Arabidopsis thaliana: one gene and its partners. The protein of the gene in region 4 interacts with the protein of the main gene of each other region in a pairwise test. Each region holds a gene or a part of one and is shown on either strand. Other genes may lie near its edges. The genes, in order: CRF12, RPT6A, AT3G61950 and AT4G26290.

Region 1 (4,489 bases), on a different chromosome or scaffold from region 4:
GTGATCCCGTCGGAGCAAAATCGGAAACACCGGAACTTGGAACGACGGTCATCGATGATGTTTGAATCATTGAATCCGAAATCTGAGCAAGCTTTTCGAGAGAGAAAGGCTTCTCTAGTTTGGTCAGCCATTTGCGTTGATTTCTTCTTCCAAAAGATCACGATTTCATAAACTGAGAGTGAGATGAGATGGTTCGATCAGATGGATCCCACTTTAGAAGAAACCTTAATTATAGTGGGGTCCTGTAATGAAAAGGGGTGAATCATGTTTAGAAAGATTCCGAAGCTATAAGACAACATATAATTTAATTAGTAATAGTATATGATTTTCATTTGTAGAGCAAAAAACAACATGATTTGGCCGTCCATAAAAGATGTTTCTTGTTCTATATGTATATTGTTTCTTACGAAATTTTAAATATTTGAATTTGAACTCATTTAAAGAAATTTGGAAGTAGTCAAATCATAAAAATTTGTATTTTTAAGGACATTGAAAAGTACGATATTTTTTCTTTCTTACCAATATTAGGCATATCACAATTTTTTTATTTTATTAAATCATTGTTTTGCTAAAAAAAAATCAAGCAAAAATAACTATCAATTGAAGAGTAGAGTTTAAAAAATAGTATCACTCATGTTTTTTTTATAATTATAACATTTATTATGTGATGTATAATAGTGTATAATTGTTTTGTGGTAAGATGAAAAAAAATCGTTTCAGTCTATTAATTCATGTTTTGCTGTCACCATTTGAACAACAACACCATTGTAAAAAAATTGCAATCACAGATTCACAGTTCAGGTTTTTACCGAATTTTGAAAAAGTTATTGCATCCGCTCTTTGCCTTCATACAACAGAAGCATCTTATGTGTGGAGGACTACACTTGCATAAAATACCAGTAAAATTGTTCTTCTTATGAGAAAGATTGAATCACACGCTCCCAAATGGATAGCTTAGGCGATTAGTGGGACATGATAGATGCATGATATTAAAGTATGGTTTGGTCATGCGCCATTAATATGTATGTCCCTTATCATATACGTCTCCTAATATAGAGACCATTTTGTACTAAAGTTCAAGAGACCACATAGATAAAATTAAAGAAAAGATAACATACTGATAATTTTCTTAGTAACATGTATATGTGTACGTATACCACAGAAAGAATGATCAAATTTTAGATTTCAGAACGCAAAACAACTTAACTGGAAGGAAAAGAAAATCTAGTTCTAGTCTATATCCCGGAGAGATGCTAATAAGAGTCTTTAACTAGGCTTTGCTCTCTGCTTTTGCTTTGTTCTTTTCTTTTCTTATAAACTAAAAATCTCTAGAAAACATTCATACTAAAAAACAAATTCTAGAAACCCAAAAATTTACTAAACCTTATAAAAAAGACCAACAAATGTGAATACTTTCTTATGATAAAGTACGAGATGAACTTTTATGACAGATTTTCTTTTGTAAATTTACATTTCAAACCAAAAACCTAATTCTATATTGGCTAGTTATGATTCATGGCCGGCCATTGATGATAATTTTGTAAACGCTTTAACACATATAAATGAGTATTTAAATATTTTTATATCAGTATTTTCACGAATGCTACATATTTGAATTGGCTAAACAAACACAAAAGAAAAAAGAAAAATACCACAACAATAACATTTCCTAACCACATTTACGTCAATATGTAAATTTATAAGTAAACTAAAAATACTATGTTTTGAGCAGTTTAAAACAATTTGGAAAACAATTAGTCAAGATAATATCATCGAAAATTAGATTAGATATTCCAAGATTTGTTACTTTTTCCTTTGAATGGTTCATGCAAAAAAAAAGGAATGGTTCCTTTAGACCAGCAGTAAAATAGTAGTAAAAATCGGGTCTAACGTAACAAGTGAGAAAATCAAGGTAAGTGAATAATACTAACAGCATATAAAGGTTAAAGCTTTATCCTGTGAGAGAAACAGATAGAATTTTCAGAAAAAGAGCACAAGGTAGGTGAAAGATTTCTTCTTTCTTTTTTTCTCATCACAAACTCTCTGCATTTCTCCACGAAATCATTACTTGAATAGTAACCCGTCTCTCTTATATTTGCTTACTGTGAGCCTGCGACTGTAATTTATGTTCTTCTCTTTCTAAAGATTTGCGTTTTGTTTGAATCGGAGTTTAATTCAAGAACCCTTTTTTACACTTCTTTCTTCTAAGGGTTTTAGGTTGTAGCTGTGTGTGTGTGTCTCACTTATCTCTTGTGGGTTTTTATCTCTTTTGAAGAACAGGAACAGTTAAAAGTCGGGATTTTTGGGTATTTGAGAAGCAATCGGAACAACAACGGCGTTTGTAACGCGGATTTATGTCGGCTGTGTCTGAATCGGCTGCGATTTCGTCTCTGTTTCTAATCTCCTTTGCAATTCAATCGTCTTCTTCTTCTTCCTCGTCTGTCTTGTTCTTTGGTCTGAGTCTGACGGCTGTTCTTAACGCTCTTCGCTTCTGCTCCGAACAGAGGCTTATTCTTGAGGTTCCTTCCATTTCCATGGGCTTAAGACTTAAAAGGTTTGGCCTTTTCTCTCTTCTTCTTTATCTTTTTCTTTTGTTGGTGAAGGAGAATCTAAAGGTTTTAAGTATTGGTTCTGGATTGTGATTTTGTGCAGGACTTGTTCTGGTGTTGAAGTATTTGGGGGTTTTCACGAAAAGCAAAAAATACCCTTTTTCATAGTTCGCTGAAACAGAGAAATCTTTTTCCTGAAAAAAACCTCATCCGATTTAGCAGTTTTTGATCAGAGATTTTTGAGTGGGGTTTTTTTGGTGTGTTCTTGGTGTGTTTGAGAAGATATGAAGTCCTTTGTGAAACCTGAGAGAGACTCTTTGTTGAGAACAGTTCGTATTGTTTTCACTGATCCTGATGCTACTGATGATTCCTCTTCCTCTAGCGATGAATGGTTACCTAAACCTCGAAAGGTAAAGCGTTTTGTTCATGAGATTACTTTCCTCCCTCAGGTCTCCGAGAGTTCTCAGGATCGTAGCAATGCTGTCAAAACCCCTAGAAGGAAATCTACTAGGCAGTTTAAGTATCCTGTGGGAGTTAGGCCGAGGCCATCAGGCAAATTTGCTGCTGAGATTTTGAACCCATTCACTAAAACTAAGAAATGGTTGGGTACTTATGAAACTCCTGCAGAAGCTGAGAAGGCTTATGTTGACAAGAAGGTTGAGTATGATGCACTGGCTTCTTCAGGTTCTGCTGTTTCCTCATCGGTTGTAACAGTGACTAGCCAGTGCTTGCGTTCCCCTACTTCTGCTTCTGTTTCTTGTGTAAGTGCTGATGATTTGTCTAAAGAAAAGACGTCTCTGAACAAAGATGTTGCTGCGTCTGGTGATTCAACCACCAAAGAAGTGTTCACTACTTTCGACTTTTCGGATGTGAAAATACCTGATCTGAGATTCTTAGCAGCAGAAGAGGATTCTATGGTTTCTAATGCAAATGGTGCAGAGCTAGACTTTGATTGTTTCCTTACTGACTCTAACATTCTGCTGGATGATTACTCATTGCTCGAAAATGATATCAACTTCAGCAGGTTTGAAAACAGTCTTCCAAGTGAGCTACCTGACTGTGATTTCACTGAAATGGAATTCCAGCTTGATGATTTCAAATTTGCCTATACAGATCATCTGACAACACCGCCTCTCGGTTTGGTTTAAGAGTTGTTAGCTTCGGTTTCTGTTTCACAGGAACATGATGAAGAAAGCTAGAAAGTATGATCCTTGCGGTCTGATCTCTATGGATTTTTCATGTGCTTTTAGAACAGTCCAAAGGAGTGATTTGCACAACATTTTTTCATAAATGTTGGTTTTACTTTCTTTCATCTTTATGTTTTAATCTATTTCCTTATGCATTGTTCTTCGTATCTCTTTTGTCTCTTGGTGTTGTACCTTTCTCTTTTAATGTTTGTCTAATCAGGACAGAAAATCTAAACCGAGAATTTAATAAGTCATGGGTTGATATTAATAGTACATAACAGTTGGATCACATTTATGTTTTTGAAGGTGGCTAATGGTGATTGTGACTTGTGAACGACCAAAAATGAAATGTAGACGACTCTCTCAAGTGGCATTCTCCACTACCTTAAAAGTAAAGAGTACTAAAGAGAGTTGACACGTGTTCCTGTACCTTTCTTGGTACGGACATTTGTGTGTGTTAAGCACGTGATACGATCAGTCCAAAGAAACTCTACAAGACGTGAGCGAGATGGTGTAATTATTAAGTCCAAGATTGATGGGCACTTTACATAGTGTGGAATCCTTTTAGATTAAGAGATCTCGTTGATGTTTAAATATAAGCTTGATTAGTTTGTGTTTCAGAGCAAACCCTTGTCTTGAAAACACTTGATACAGTCATCAAACATCTCTGTTAATGACTTGAAGGAGGCAAAGCCAAGTTCATGTATTTTTGTTGTGTCTAAGCTATGAGGCATATCTTTCCCTTCTTCACTG
Region 2 (5,911 bases), on a different chromosome or scaffold from region 4:
CATACAACAGAAGCTAGTTTCCCCGGAACCAACTGCGTCAACTCCTCATCTTCCTCTCCCTTCTCGCTATCTTTCTCGCTGACCTTCTCAATGGGTTTATCCAATTTGACACTCTGCTGATAACCAACACCTCCACAGATAGTAAAAAGAAGACAAACCAAACCAACAGGAGTGGCATGCTTATCCCAAATCAAAACATTGATGACAACAGTCAAGAACTTGTTAACAACACCAGTGACTGTAAAAGCAGTAGCAGAGATAGCATTCCTAGCAGCAAATCCAAAGTAACTGATAAGGAAACCAAACACACACGACGCAGCCACAGAAGAAAACGCATAAGGCTCAAACAAATTCCCTCTATTCTCACTCAACGCCGCGAAAACCTCGGTGAATTCTCCAGTAAGAAACCAGAACACCGGTGCTATCATCAGAGACAGTAGATTATTGTAGAGAACCAATCCCCAAATGTTCAATTTAATATTAGAGACCATATGCTTAATGTAAACCATTTCAGTAGTAATGGTAACAAGATAAGCCAAAGCCCATGAATAAGCCGTTAGAGTAAAAGACGAGTCAGTTGCAACATACCCAACAGCTCCAGCGAGGATAACGACGAGAGACAAAAACGTAAGTCTCGAAGGTAAAGGCTGACTACGAAACACAGTATCAGCGATCGCGACTAAGAGCGGTGTTAGAGATCGGAAGACGATGAAAGTATCGACATTAGCGTGACGGAGGAGGTTTGTGTTTGTGAAGATAGCGAGGTAGAAGACGATAGCTGCAGGGAGAAATTTCTTAGCAGTGTCCCATGTGAATGGATCGTGATTGATTAACCCTGATTTGCCGAGAAGATAGACGGCGACGGTGCAGGTTAGGTATTGAAGAGCTGTGAGGAGACCTGGGTAGTTGAAGTATGTGATTGCTAATTTGTTGATTACGGCGAGGAGGCTTGAGCAGAGTGCGTAGCCGATTACGAGACTGCTTGTTGTTAATTGTTTGTTTGAATCGAATCGAGAGGACGACATTGTTTTGGTTTTTGGTGGAGGTTTTTGGGAGATCCAGATCGGTGAAGATGAAGAAGAGAGGATTTGGGATCTGGATCGGATTATTCAGAGACTAATTAGAGGAAGGCGACGACTTCTCTCGTCAGTGTCTTATCGTACGGGACAATTTTGTTAGTAATCTTTTTAGTCACTTTGAGTTTAATTGTGGTGTTAATTTTGGTCAACTCACCATTAATGGAAGAATATTAAACATATTGATTTTGTCTGTGTGTATGTAGAGAATTTTTGTTTGTTTGTAGAGAAATTATTGTGTATTTTGGACATAAACTAGTCAATGCACTAATTAAGCAAATAATTGAGATTGCATGTAGTCATTGTTGAGATTCACTCTCTTTTAGATTAACGATATGTGCTGAACCAACGCTTAAATAAACATAATAAATCTAAAATTGTTGTCATCTGGCTGTACAACACAAAGCTGTACAAAATTTTAGATTAACGGATCTGATTGTTTACAATAAGTCGTATAAAAAATTTAGGTGTACGTTTTTTCGGAATATTATAAAGCTGTAAAAAAGAACGGTACGAGAAAACCTTACAATAAAAGTGAGAGTAAAACTTTTTGTAACACTTTTGATAATCTTTTTGTGTTTTGTATAAAAAAAAGCTATACAAATTGTAATACTTTGTTTTTATTCACCAATCAAAGTCGTTGATGTTGAAACATGTTGTTGAGACATCATGCATCAACTACACTAAAATGTTATTCAAATCTTTGATCTAGTAATAAAACATGTTTATGATGTGTATTAAAGTAAGATTTAAACGAAAAAGAAGAAGTTATTAATCCGAATGTTTCAAAGTTTCAACTATCTCCCTCGACAACTCTCTTCTTACTCGATAAGGTGAAACTTAAATTACTAACAAGCAGAACGTTTTATCTCTAAGATGGTTCCAACGGCTTATTAGCCACCAGCTAGAGTAAGCCTGAGAAAACGTAGACTCGAGGAAGGACTCTAAACGAACTAGAAGGTTAAGACAAGCAAAAAGTAAAATAAAAATATTTCTATTGTTGAGTTAATTTCCTTTTTATTAATTTAGGTGATATCATATAATGCTTCGCGTGAGGGTTTCTGAGATTCTGATCGACGAAAACTAATCTCTCTCCTTTTTCTTCTCATCTCCTTACTAGAGATCTCTGTCTTCGATAATTTGTTTCAATCACTGAGAAAATGGCGGCCGTAGGAGTAGATTCGAGGCGTCCTGAGACAGCGATGGAGGAAACCTGTAACGTGAAAGGAGCGGCGGCGAAACAAGGGGAAGGGCTTAAGCAGTACTATCTCCAGCACATCCATGAGCTCCAGCGCCAGCTTCGACAGAAGACTAATAACCTCAATCGCCTTGAAGCTCAAAGGAATGAACTCAATTCTCGAGGTCTCTTCTTCCTTCTCTTACCCTAATTCTCTGCAAAATTGGATCTTTTTTATCATCTCCTTGTGTTTCGTAATCTCAGATTCTGTGCTAGGGCTTTCGATTTCGTTCCAATTGGAGCTGAGTGATTTCAAATTTCAAAATTGTTGTGGTGATTTAGTGTTTCCGATCTGGAAGTGATTAGTCTTGATTTTAGCAACATTAACTTGTTTAGATTTCTAGATTCTGTCTTCTTGTTGGTTCTTTTGCAAAGTATGTGGCTTTTTTCAGGAAAGCCTAGTTATTTCTTCACTATCTTCATTGAGGAATATATACTTTTGGAAGGAGCCCATATAGTCCTTTCCACTATACCATGATTTTAGTTACACATTTAAAGTTATAGAACAGCTTCTGTTGTCATCATGATCACCATCCTATTTATGCATGAAGGTTTTCTTACTAGTCTTTATAATTTGTAGTTAGTTCTAAATCTCAAACCTCGTTAACACTAAAATTATTTCTAATTGAACAGTGAGAATGCTCAGAGAAGAGTTACAGCTCCTTCAAGAACCTGGGTCCTATGTGGGAGAAGTGGTAAAAGTTATGGGAAAGAACAAGGTCTTGGTTAAGGTATGAATCTTTTTTATTATCATGTTTGTATTTCTACGAACATAGTTGTCAGTAAGGCTTACACTCCCATTTTCCAGGTTCATCCAGAGGGGAAGTATGTTGTTGATATTGACAAAAGTATAGACATTACGAAAATCACTCCATCAACGAGAGTTGCTCTTCGTAATGATAGCTATGTTCTCCACCTGGTTCTGCCAAGTAAAGTAGATCCCTTGGTTAACCTTATGAAAGTTGAGAAGGTTCCAGACTCCACCTATGACATGATTGGTGGTCTTGACCAGCAGATTAAGGAAATAAAGGAGGTATGCTTAGTGAATGAGAAACCGAAACTAAAAGTCACTACAGTATTGGCTATCTCCTCTGTTGTTTCATCCTTTTAATGTTTATATAATATCTATATCTTTTCTGGTTTATCAGGTCATTGAGCTGCCAATCAAGCATCCTGAATTGTTTGAGTCTCTTGGAATTGCGCAGCCAAAGGTACACTTGAATCTTAAACCTTCTTCTCCATATTGTGATGATGCTAAGTGGATTAGACGTAATCTCATCTCTCTGTCTTTCTAGGGTGTGTTGTTATACGGTCCACCTGGAACTGGGAAGACACTATTGGCTCGGGCTGTTGCACATCACACTGACTGTACTTTCATAAGAGTTTCTGGTTCCGAGCTTGTCCAGAAATACATTGGAGAAGGTTCTAGAATGGTCAGAGAACTTTTTGTGATGGCAAGGTTAGTATATGGTAGTCCCTATTTTAAATTTCAAGCATGGTAATAGTGGTTGATAGGAAAATATGGAACTGTTGATAAGATAACATCTTTTAACATGTCCGCCATTAGTTGCTATAAAATGGACATGAGCTGTTAAGTTAAATGGGGAAAGTGTTCTTTGTTGCTACAATGAATATGGTTCCGTTGTGAATGAATATCGTTCTATAAAGTATTCTTTGTCATAGTGCTTAGCATTTAGGCCACAGTGCCAAGTCTCATGTAAGGAGCAAATTACAAATAGGTGAGATGATTCGTTGAAAATACTCTTTCCAGTTGGCTTACACCGGTTTATGGTTTTCAGGGAGCATGCACCATCAATCATCTTCATGGATGAAATCGATAGTATTGGGTCTGCTCGTATGGAATCTGGAAGTGGAAATGGTGACAGTGAGGTGCAACGGACCATGCTCGAGCTTCTCAATCAACTTGACGGTTTTGAAGCGTCAAACAAAATCAAGGTACCTATTAAGTTGTAAAGGAAAAAAAACCATAAGTTGAATAGGATGAGTCTGTGTTATTGTAGTCTGAAATTGCTGACAGAGTCATATTCTCTTTAATGACTGTTGCAGGTTTTGATGGCTACAAATCGTATTGATATTCTGGATCAAGCTCTTCTCAGGCCTGGAAGAATTGATAGGAAAATTGAATTTCCTAATCCTAATGAAGAGGTAATACTTGTGCTCTGAGAAAATGATATTGACTGTTGTTTTTGGTGATATGAATACATTATTCGTCAAAGTAGGCACCTTATTTAGTATTTAGACTATCATTTGCAGCATAAAAAACTTTTCTTTATCTCCATACTCATTTTACTCAAGTGAGGCAGGACGGTTTGGCTAATGTATGTTTCCAAAATGTGTTGCAGTCACGTTTTGACATCTTGAAGATTCACTCGAGGAAAATGAATTTGATGCGTGGAATCGATCTGAAAAAGATTGCAGAGAAGATGAATGGCGCTTCAGGTGCTGAGCTGAAGGTAAAGTGTTTTCTATTTCTCTACTTCTATCTTGTTCTCTCTACATTTTGCCTCTCTCTTATGTTTTTGGTTAATACGGTCAGGCTGTGTGCACGGAGGCGGGAATGTTTGCTCTGCGTGAGAGGAGAGTACACGTGACACAAGAAGACTTTGAGATGGCGGTGGCCAAGGTAATGAAGAAAGACACGGAGAAGAACATGTCTCTGCGTAAGCTGTGGAAGTAGGAATCTCTCATGGAAAGACTTTCTTTACTTTACTGTTTGTTGTTTGATTCTGAAACCTTTTTTCGGTTGTCTCATGAAAACATTTTAGAACAAAGTTTTTACTATCTAGACACGAGTTTATCTAGTATGCGATTTGAGGTCAATGGAAGGAAATTCCCAAAACTCAAGAACCTGAGCTTATAAGACCAAAACAAGCAGAACCTTCACATGTTAAGAGTTCTTCTGTCCGAAACTGTCATATTCCATTAGAGAGAAAAAGCCTATAATGTAAATGTTATGATAATTTATTTCAATTACAAATTTTACGCACGAATTTGGTTTATTCGGTATGGTTTAGCTCGGTTACCAAAGTTTTGGTGTATGCTTAAGTTGTGGTTTTGGACTTTTTGTATTGCAGACTTATAAAATAACAAAACCAAGCGGTTTATAAATTTTGTTAATTTTGGGTTGGTTCCGTCATTCCATTTTTTATTTTTCTCCCAAATAAAAAATCATATGAAATTAAACTTAAAAAGAGCAAGATCTTTAATACAAGATCTTTAATACAAGTTTAGCAAAAAAAAGATCTTTAATACAAATGATAACATAGTTACAAAATTATACAAAACATATGATATTAATGAATTATATAATACACAATAAGCAATGGAAAAGAAAAATACAATAGCTTATATCTTGTTCTCTGGACATTTTGCACCTTTCTTATGTTTCCAGTTATTACGTTTAAACTTTGTGCACAGAAACGAAAATATTTGATATGCGTGAGAGGAGAGTACACGTGACATAAGAATACTGAGATGGCGGTGGCGAAAGTAACGAAAAACACACACAAAGAAGAACAAGCCTCTGAGTAAGTTCTGGAAGTAGGAATCTCTTTGTTATGTAATTCAAGTCAATGGA
Region 3 (4,367 bases), on a different chromosome or scaffold from region 4:
CATTTGCTCACTGATGTTGGTGCTTTTGCTATCTCTATGCTCTCCTTGTGGGCTTCTTCTTGGGAAGCAAATCCGCGACAGAGTTATGGGTTCTTCAGGATAGAGATTTTAGGCACTCTTGTCTCAATCCAGCTCATTTGGTTACTCACTGGGATTTTGGTCTACGAAGCCGTAACTAGACTCGTTCAAGAGACCAATGATGATGTTGATGGTTTCTTTATGGTTCTTGTTGCTGCTTTTGGTTTAGTTGTAAACATCATAATGATTGTTGTGCTTGGACATGATCACGGACATGGGCATGATCATGGTCACAGTCATGATCATGGTCATAGTTATGGGGAAAGAGCTGAGCAGTTGTTGGAGAAATCCAAGGAAATAAGGAACATTAATGTGCAAGGGGCTTATCTTCATGTTCTTGGGGATTTAATTCAGAGCATTGGGGTAATGATTGGAGGGGGTATGATTTGGTATAACCCTAAATGGAAAGTAATTGACTTGATATGCACGTTATTCTTTTCAGTTATTGTTTTAGGGACAACCATTAAGATGCTTCGAAGCATACTTGAAGTTCTAATGGAGAGCACACCGAGAGAGATAGACGCGAGGCAGCTCGAAAAGGGATTGATGGAAATTGAGGAAGTTGTGGATGTTCATGAGCTGCACATATGGGCAATTACAGTTGGAAAAGCTCTGTTTTCTTGTCATGTCAAGGTTAGACCAGAAGCTGGTGATGAAATGGTGCTGAACAAAGTGATCGATTACATCTGGAGAGAGTATCGTATCAGTCACGTTACGATACAAATCGAGCGTTAAAACAACAAAAGGGTTCATTTCTCTGGTTTTCTGTCATTTTCATGATCAAAGTTAAATCTTTTTTCGCTTTCTCGTATGCTCTCATTACCTTGTTGTGACATATGCCATTGTCTTTCTTGTTTATGAATAAGTTGTCTTGTCTTGAAAAAGGTAATTAAAAGGACATAACTTTATTTGAGATTAGGGATTTGTGTTAAGTTACTACTAAAGAAAAATCAGAATCTTTAGGGTTTATCTTTGATAATAGACCTACCAAAAAGAGTGGGGCATGTTTGTCCTAAGAGCAAGTAACCATAGCTCGTGTGTGACAGTTAACAACCATATCCAGTACACAATTGATAAACAAAGATTCAACTTTCTTTGGAGTTTTGATGTGTTGATAAGGTTTCTAAGGTCTTCGTTAACCAATAACCATGCAAAGCACGAATGTTTTGTTTCTTTGCTCAAATTTTGTGAGACCGGATATGAAGTTACCCGTTTGGATTGAGCTTGTGGACATGTTGGGACATTTTTATAGGACAAACACTGTTTAATGCCGTAGCAGCCAAGGCATTTAGAGTCAACCTTTTTCTTTTAATTGTAATCAAGATATGTTTGATTGCAAAGTAATAAACAAAATCCCACACTTTAGAAACCTTACATCTATTAAAGGTTCGAATCATTAGAACATGATGGATGCATGCAAATGCAACATGGTATCTGTATAAAGTTTTAGCTTTTTGAGCCTTGAAGAAAAGGAATGGTGTGGTATGGGAATAGTGAAGAAAGGATGATTGAGACATCATGAGAAAGATGACACAAACCCAAAGGAAGAAGCTCTCTTACCCATGACATGTCTCTTTTTTACCTTCTTCTTCTGTGTAATTTAGAACTGTCCCCACAAAGTCTGTCTCCACTTCAAGACAAAACTGCTTCCACCAATAATATCTCTCTCTCATCTGCTCTGCTCAGCCTCACCAACTCTTACAGTACCCAAATACATCTATCTTATTACCTCTCTGTTTTTTACAGCTCCTCTGTTTCCACTCTACTCAATAGCTTTACTAAAGACTCACTGTTCTATATAAAGCTAACAGTTACAAGTCCATAAAAGCTCAGAATCAGAAGAGAGTACATGAGTTTCCTCTTCTGCCTCTTTGGTGATTCTTAGCATTTATTATTACTCACTCATCTTCTTTTCATTACATTACATACCAAACAAGAGCTCTCAAATGGAAAGGTTTCAAGGACACATCAACCCCTGTGTATGTATCTTTTGCTTGATTTAGAAAACTTTTAACTCTCTTTCTTCAATCTTTCTCTCTTCCCTTGAATCATTTTTTTCCATACTCAGAGACATGGACTTGCATTTACTCATTCCTAATTAGTCCAGATACTGTGCATTTAATGCTTTTGTTGTTTGTTTTAGAGAAAACAGTAACAATTCCTAATTAGTCCAGATACTGTGCATTTAATGCTTTTGTTGTTTGTTTTAGAGAAAACAGTAACAATTCTACAATCATTTTTGCTTCCCTTTCTTTGAAAACATTCCATTTTCCTTTCTATTTTTTTGCTTATCTCTGTACTAAGAACCAAACTAACCCACAGTAGAACTAAATTACACTTCTCTTTCAATCATTTGCGTCTCACCGGCTAATCTCATTCCTCTGTCATTTTTACAGTTCTTCGATCGAAAACCGGATGTGAGAAGCCTCGAGGTTCAAGGATTTGCAGAGGCTCAAAGCTTTGCTTTCAAAGAAAAAGAGGAAGAAAGCTTACAAGATACAGTTCCATTTCTACAGATGCTGCAAAGTGAAGACCCCTCATCGTTTTTTTCAATCAAAGAGCCAAACTTTCTGACGCTACTGTCTCTTCAAACCCTCAAGGAGCCTTGGGAACTCGAAAGATATCTTTCACTTGAGGATTCACAATTTCATTCACCGGTCCAATCTGAGACCAACCGCTTCATGGAAGGAGCCAATCAAGCTGTGTCAAGCCAAGAAATTCCCTTTAGCCAAGCAAACATGACACTCCCTTCTTCTACCTCATCACCACTCAGTGCACATTCAAGACGAAAGCGCAAAATCAACCACTTGCTGCCTCAAGAAATGACTAGAGAAAAGAGAAAGAGGAGGAAAACAAAACCAAGTAAAAACAATGAAGAGATTGAGAATCAAAGAATAAACCACATTGCTGTTGAACGAAACAGAAGACGTCAAATGAACGAACATATCAACTCTCTCCGGGCCCTTCTCCCACCTTCCTACATCCAACGAGTAAATAACCAAAAGCATACATGAAAGTTTCAACCTTTAATCATCAAAACCTTATCAAATGTTGTCCTGCAGGGAGACCAAGCTTCCATAGTAGGAGGAGCAATAAACTACGTGAAGGTCCTCGAGCAAATCATACAATCTCTCGAATCGCAAAAGAGAACGCAACAACAAAGTAACAGTGAGGTAGTAGAAAACGCACTTAATCATCTCTCAGGCATTTCGTCGAACGACCTGTGGACAACTCTTGAAGATCAAACTTGTATCCCCAAAATCGAAGCTACAGTGATACAAAACCATGTCAGCCTTAAAGTTCAATGTGAGAAGAAACAAGGACAACTTCTCAAAGGAATCATATCACTTGAAAAGCTTAAACTCACTGTTCTTCATCTCAATATCACTACTTCGTCTCATTCCTCTGTTTCTTATTCCTTCAACCTCAAGGTAAACACTACTTTCCATTTTTTACTTCAATCAACAAAAACCCAACATTGAAAATTGAATCTTTAATTAAAAAATCTTGTTTTTTTTTTCAATTGTGTCGGAGCAGATGGAAGATGAGTGCGACTTAGAGTCAGCCGACGAGATTACGGCGGCTGTTCATCGGATTTTCGATATTCCGACAATTTGATTAAACACATATAATTCCAAAAATATTAACAGCTGACAAAATGGTATCTTTTTTTTTTTTCCTACTTGTACCAATTTTTTAAGAATTAAGAGAATAAAAAAATTTCGTTTTTCGTTCTTTCATTTTCCTACTGACAGAATTAAATTCTGTTTTGTTCGTATATTATTGGATTGTTCGATTATTATTGTTCAGGCTTTGGGTGTTTTGTGAGATTGGGTCCCATCTTATTAAAAGTTTGATCTTATTCGTCTTTATTATTTCATCAATCATGGTTTGACTTTTGTCCCTATTTTAAGTGTTGACTTTACGATCATTGTCAATGGGATGTCGTGTACCAGACTTCTCGTTTCCAAATGGGACGTTTAGAGCTTTCGCCTTTGGAGTGATCCTCCTCGAGCTTCACACGGGAGAGTTTGTGCACCAACAAAGTTTGCATCTTTGGTATTTTAAGCTATTATTGATATTGGCACTATACAATGAGGGAGGCAAATACTTTTTGGTCACAGCATCAACAATATAGAGTAACCATTTCGAAATTTCAAGAGAATATAAGGAAAAGCCACAAATGTTATAGACTTGACCCAAGCAGAGCCAGGAAAGTTTCTTATATACAATGCCCGCGGTCTATTTTCGCTAAAGATGAGACCGACGATGCTGTAAGTTAGAGATGT
Region 4 (2,638 bases):
CTGCTGATAATAGTGAATTCTATTCAGTATCTTCCGGTTTTCGGTGACGTTTTATAATTAAGGCTGCTCAATTATGATGAATGATTTGCCAGATGTTTTGACAGTTGGTTTATATTCATGGCTACAAGCTAATGTGCGGTTTTGTTTAATATTCTTTCAAGGTATGCTGACCTGAAGAACAACAGATTAACAAATTATACTTTCAGCTTTGATCAAATGCTTAATGACAAGGTACTGAAATTTGCCACCTAGTTTACAAATTTGCATTTTGCAGTCACCTACACAACCTTATTGATCATATGTCATGAGCAGGGAAATACAGCCGTTTACCTTCTTTACGCCCATGCTCGGATCTGTTCAATCATCAGAAAGTCTGGCAAAGACATAGATGAGCTGAAAAAGGTACTTTAGCTGCATGAACATGAATCGCTGAATTTTATTCTTTGTTCCTCTTGGCTGCCCCTGAAACTTTCCCATTGTCTCTATCAAGGAAATGCGACGTTATAAACTATTTAGTTTGAAATTGAAAGCTTAAACAATTTTCAGAAGTGTTTAAACTTTTAAGTTAATGCCAGTGTCTATAGTGAGCATTTAATTTTTTGGAGTCTCAAGATTCATTTTGTATACACCCTGGGCCTTTTTGTCCTTTTTAGTTTCTTGGTTGTGCTATCTTTCACATTTTCATAAGATATGGATCGTCGAACACCTACGAAGTCTGTTATTAGTTCCTACCATACGCAGTACAATAAAGAGTAATTCTTATGTTTCAACATCTTATTCATTGCAGACAGGAAAATTAGCATTGGATCATGCAGATGAACGAGCACTGGGGCTTCACTTGCTTCGATTTGCTGAGGTAACACATGCTCTCTTTAGATACTTCTTTCATATTTGGCTTCTTTTTCTCGGCAACAAGATGAACTTGAAACTCATGTGTGAACAATTTGCAGACGGTGGAGGAAGCTTGTACCAACTTATTACCGAGTGTTCTGTGCGAGTACCTCTACAATTTATCTGAACACTTTACCAGATTCTACTCCAATTGTCAGGTGTGCAATTCACAAGACTCTACATTTCTCATTTGATATTGTGATATTAGACTGCATAGCTGCATAATCAACCACTATAATGTTGATCTCACTTAAAACATGATCTTTTACAGGTCAATGGTTCACCAGAGGAGACAAGCCGTCTCCTACTTTGTGAAGCAACGGCCATAGTCATGCGGAAATGCTTCCACCTTCTTGGAATCACTCCGGTTTACAAGATTTGATCACATCACAAGTAAACGACCCAAAGGAAAATGTTTTTAATTCGTTTTGACAATTTTTCTGCACAATTAGTGTAAAAGGCGTTATTTGGCCCTAAATTCTCTCTGTTCTCATTTAGCTTGGGGCAAACTTGTATACAAATGAATACAATGTTAAACTGAACCCAGAAGGTTGTTTTGTCATGTCATTGAACTGATTTGGGTGAATCATGAAATGGTTTAAAGGTTAATCTTGAATTTGAATGTTTTGAGGATGTTCTCGTGGCTTTCATGGAGATTGTTGCCTTTGGTCCATAGAAATAATCCCTTTTGCAGCATGACTTCGTTCTTGATCCTCTCTTCACAAGATCCTGTAGACTTGTGACATTTGCTAGAGATGTGAATGATTGAGATTTGCCTTTATAATACTTTGAAAGTCCTCCTTTCTTGACCTGACTGTAAGAAAAAAAACAAAGACAATAAGAAAACAAATTCTTAACACTGTCTATGGAGACAAGATGGAACGATCAAAGAGAATAAGGACTGTGAGATAATATTTCACCCAGAGATTTAGTGTCATTACATGATAGGGAGCTGAGAGATGAGGTCCGAAAGATCGTCGAAAGGCCCATTTGAAGAAGAAGAAGAAGAAGAAGAAGAAGAAGAAGCATCCTCTGTTAAATCAGATGAACACATAGAGATAGAAGATGAAGATGAAACTTTTGCAGAGGATCCTGAAACTCCAATAACACCCTCTTCTTCTTTTGTAGTCGAAATAAGATTACCATCGCGAATGTTCATCTCTTCTTCTTTTGTCAATTATGTTTAGATTCTGATTTGATCTTTCTTTTGAAGTCTTAACCAAAAGGACAAGAAAAGGTTTCTTGATCAATAAGAACAGAACAGAGAGTTCTTTTTTTTTTTGATAAGAAAGAACAGAGAGTTCTTGTCGAGATGTTTGTGTTCTGTTCTAGTTTTTTTTTTTTTTTTTGATAAAAGTTGTGTTTTGTATATATATAGAGGGAGGTAGAGGATTACACATGTAGATAAGCGAAGAGATACGGTTTAGTAAGAGAAAAAAGGATAACGAATAAACGATAATGTATAGGTATTACTTACGTGCAAGCTGTGGCCTGTGGATAACGTTTTACTCTGTTTCTTCTATCAAATTTATTAATCATAATCTATTTTTTCTCTAGCCTCTCATAAAAACATAAGGTTGACTCTTTTATCTTGATCCCAAATCCCAATTGAATATAAATTATGAACGACTGAAATCGAATTTTGGATTGTTTTTTTAACAATTATCTTGAATTGGACATAAGGTTGACTCTTTTATCTTATTTTTATTTTTATTTTTTTTCCATTCAAATTCGAGTAGATATAACC

Evidence for each region.
Region 1: the proteins of AT4G26290 (region 4) and CRF12 interact in a two-hybrid assay, tested with the Arabidopsis thaliana proteins (one large-scale study listed by BioGRID).
Region 2: the proteins of AT4G26290 (region 4) and RPT6A interact in a two-hybrid assay, tested with the Arabidopsis thaliana proteins (one large-scale study listed by BioGRID).
Region 3: the proteins of AT4G26290 (region 4) and AT3G61950 interact in a two-hybrid assay, tested with the Arabidopsis thaliana proteins (one large-scale study listed by BioGRID).

What each region holds. Positions count from the first base shown.
Region 1 is NC_003070.9:8,944,109-8,948,597, reverse strand, and holds CRF12 (AP2 domain-containing transcription factor family protein), read left to right. Parts: upstream 1-1,969; 5' UTR 1,970-1,998; intron 1,999-2,275; 5' UTR 2,276-2,554; intron 2,555-2,652; 5' UTR 2,653-2,833; coding exon 2,834-3,697; 3' UTR 3,698-3,989; downstream 3,990-4,489. Other genes in the region: AT1G25480 (aluminum activated malate transporter family protein), read right to left, coding at 1-131; AT1G25460 (NAD(P)-binding Rossmann-fold superfamily protein), read right to left, coding at 4,354-4,489.
Region 2 is NC_003076.8:6,749,908-6,755,818, forward strand, and holds RPT6A (regulatory particle triple-A ATPase 6A), read left to right. Parts: upstream 1-1,890; 5' UTR 1,891-2,053; exon of another isoform or gene 2,054-2,196; 5' UTR 2,197-2,236; coding exon 2,237-2,438; exon of another isoform or gene 2,439-2,836; coding exon of another isoform or gene 2,837-2,864; intron 2,865-2,946; coding exon 2,947-3,044; intron 3,045-3,121; coding exon 3,122-3,346; intron 3,347-3,461; coding exon 3,462-3,524; intron 3,525-3,608; coding exon 3,609-3,772; intron 3,773-4,112; coding exon 4,113-4,269; intron 4,270-4,380; coding exon 4,381-4,479; intron 4,480-4,676; coding exon 4,677-4,787; intron 4,788-4,870; coding exon 4,871-5,011; 3' UTR 5,012-5,386; downstream 5,387-5,911. Other genes in the region: GONST4 (golgi nucleotide sugar transporter 4), read right to left, coding at 1-1,025. UniProt on the Arabidopsis thaliana protein: The 26S proteasome is involved in the ATP-dependent degradation of ubiquitinated proteins. The regulatory (or ATPase) complex confers ATP dependency and substrate specificity to the 26S complex.
Region 3 is NC_003074.8:22,937,637-22,942,003, forward strand, and holds AT3G61950 (basic helix-loop-helix (bHLH) DNA-binding superfamily protein), read left to right. Parts: upstream 1-1,751; 5' UTR 1,752-2,024; coding exon 2,025-2,057; intron 2,058-2,168; exon of another isoform or gene 2,169-2,474; coding exon 2,475-3,068; coding exon of another isoform or gene 3,069-3,092; exon of another isoform or gene 3,093-3,140; coding exon 3,141-3,509; coding exon of another isoform or gene 3,510-3,560; exon of another isoform or gene 3,561-3,615; coding exon 3,616-3,696; 3' UTR 3,697-3,846; downstream 3,847-4,367. Other genes in the region: MTPA1 (Cation efflux family protein), read left to right, coding at 1-813; AT3G61960 (Protein kinase superfamily protein), read right to left, coding at 4,330-4,367.
Region 4 is NC_003075.7:13,307,035-13,309,672, reverse strand, and holds AT4G26290 (uncharacterized protein), read left to right. Parts: upstream 1-1,850; coding exon 1,851-2,078; downstream 2,079-2,638. Other genes in the region: emb1027 (Arginyl-tRNA synthetase, class Ic), read left to right, coding at 162-231, 313-402, 788-856, 951-1,049, 1,163-1,273; AT4G26288 (uncharacterized protein), read right to left, coding at 1,456-1,705, 1,833-2,050.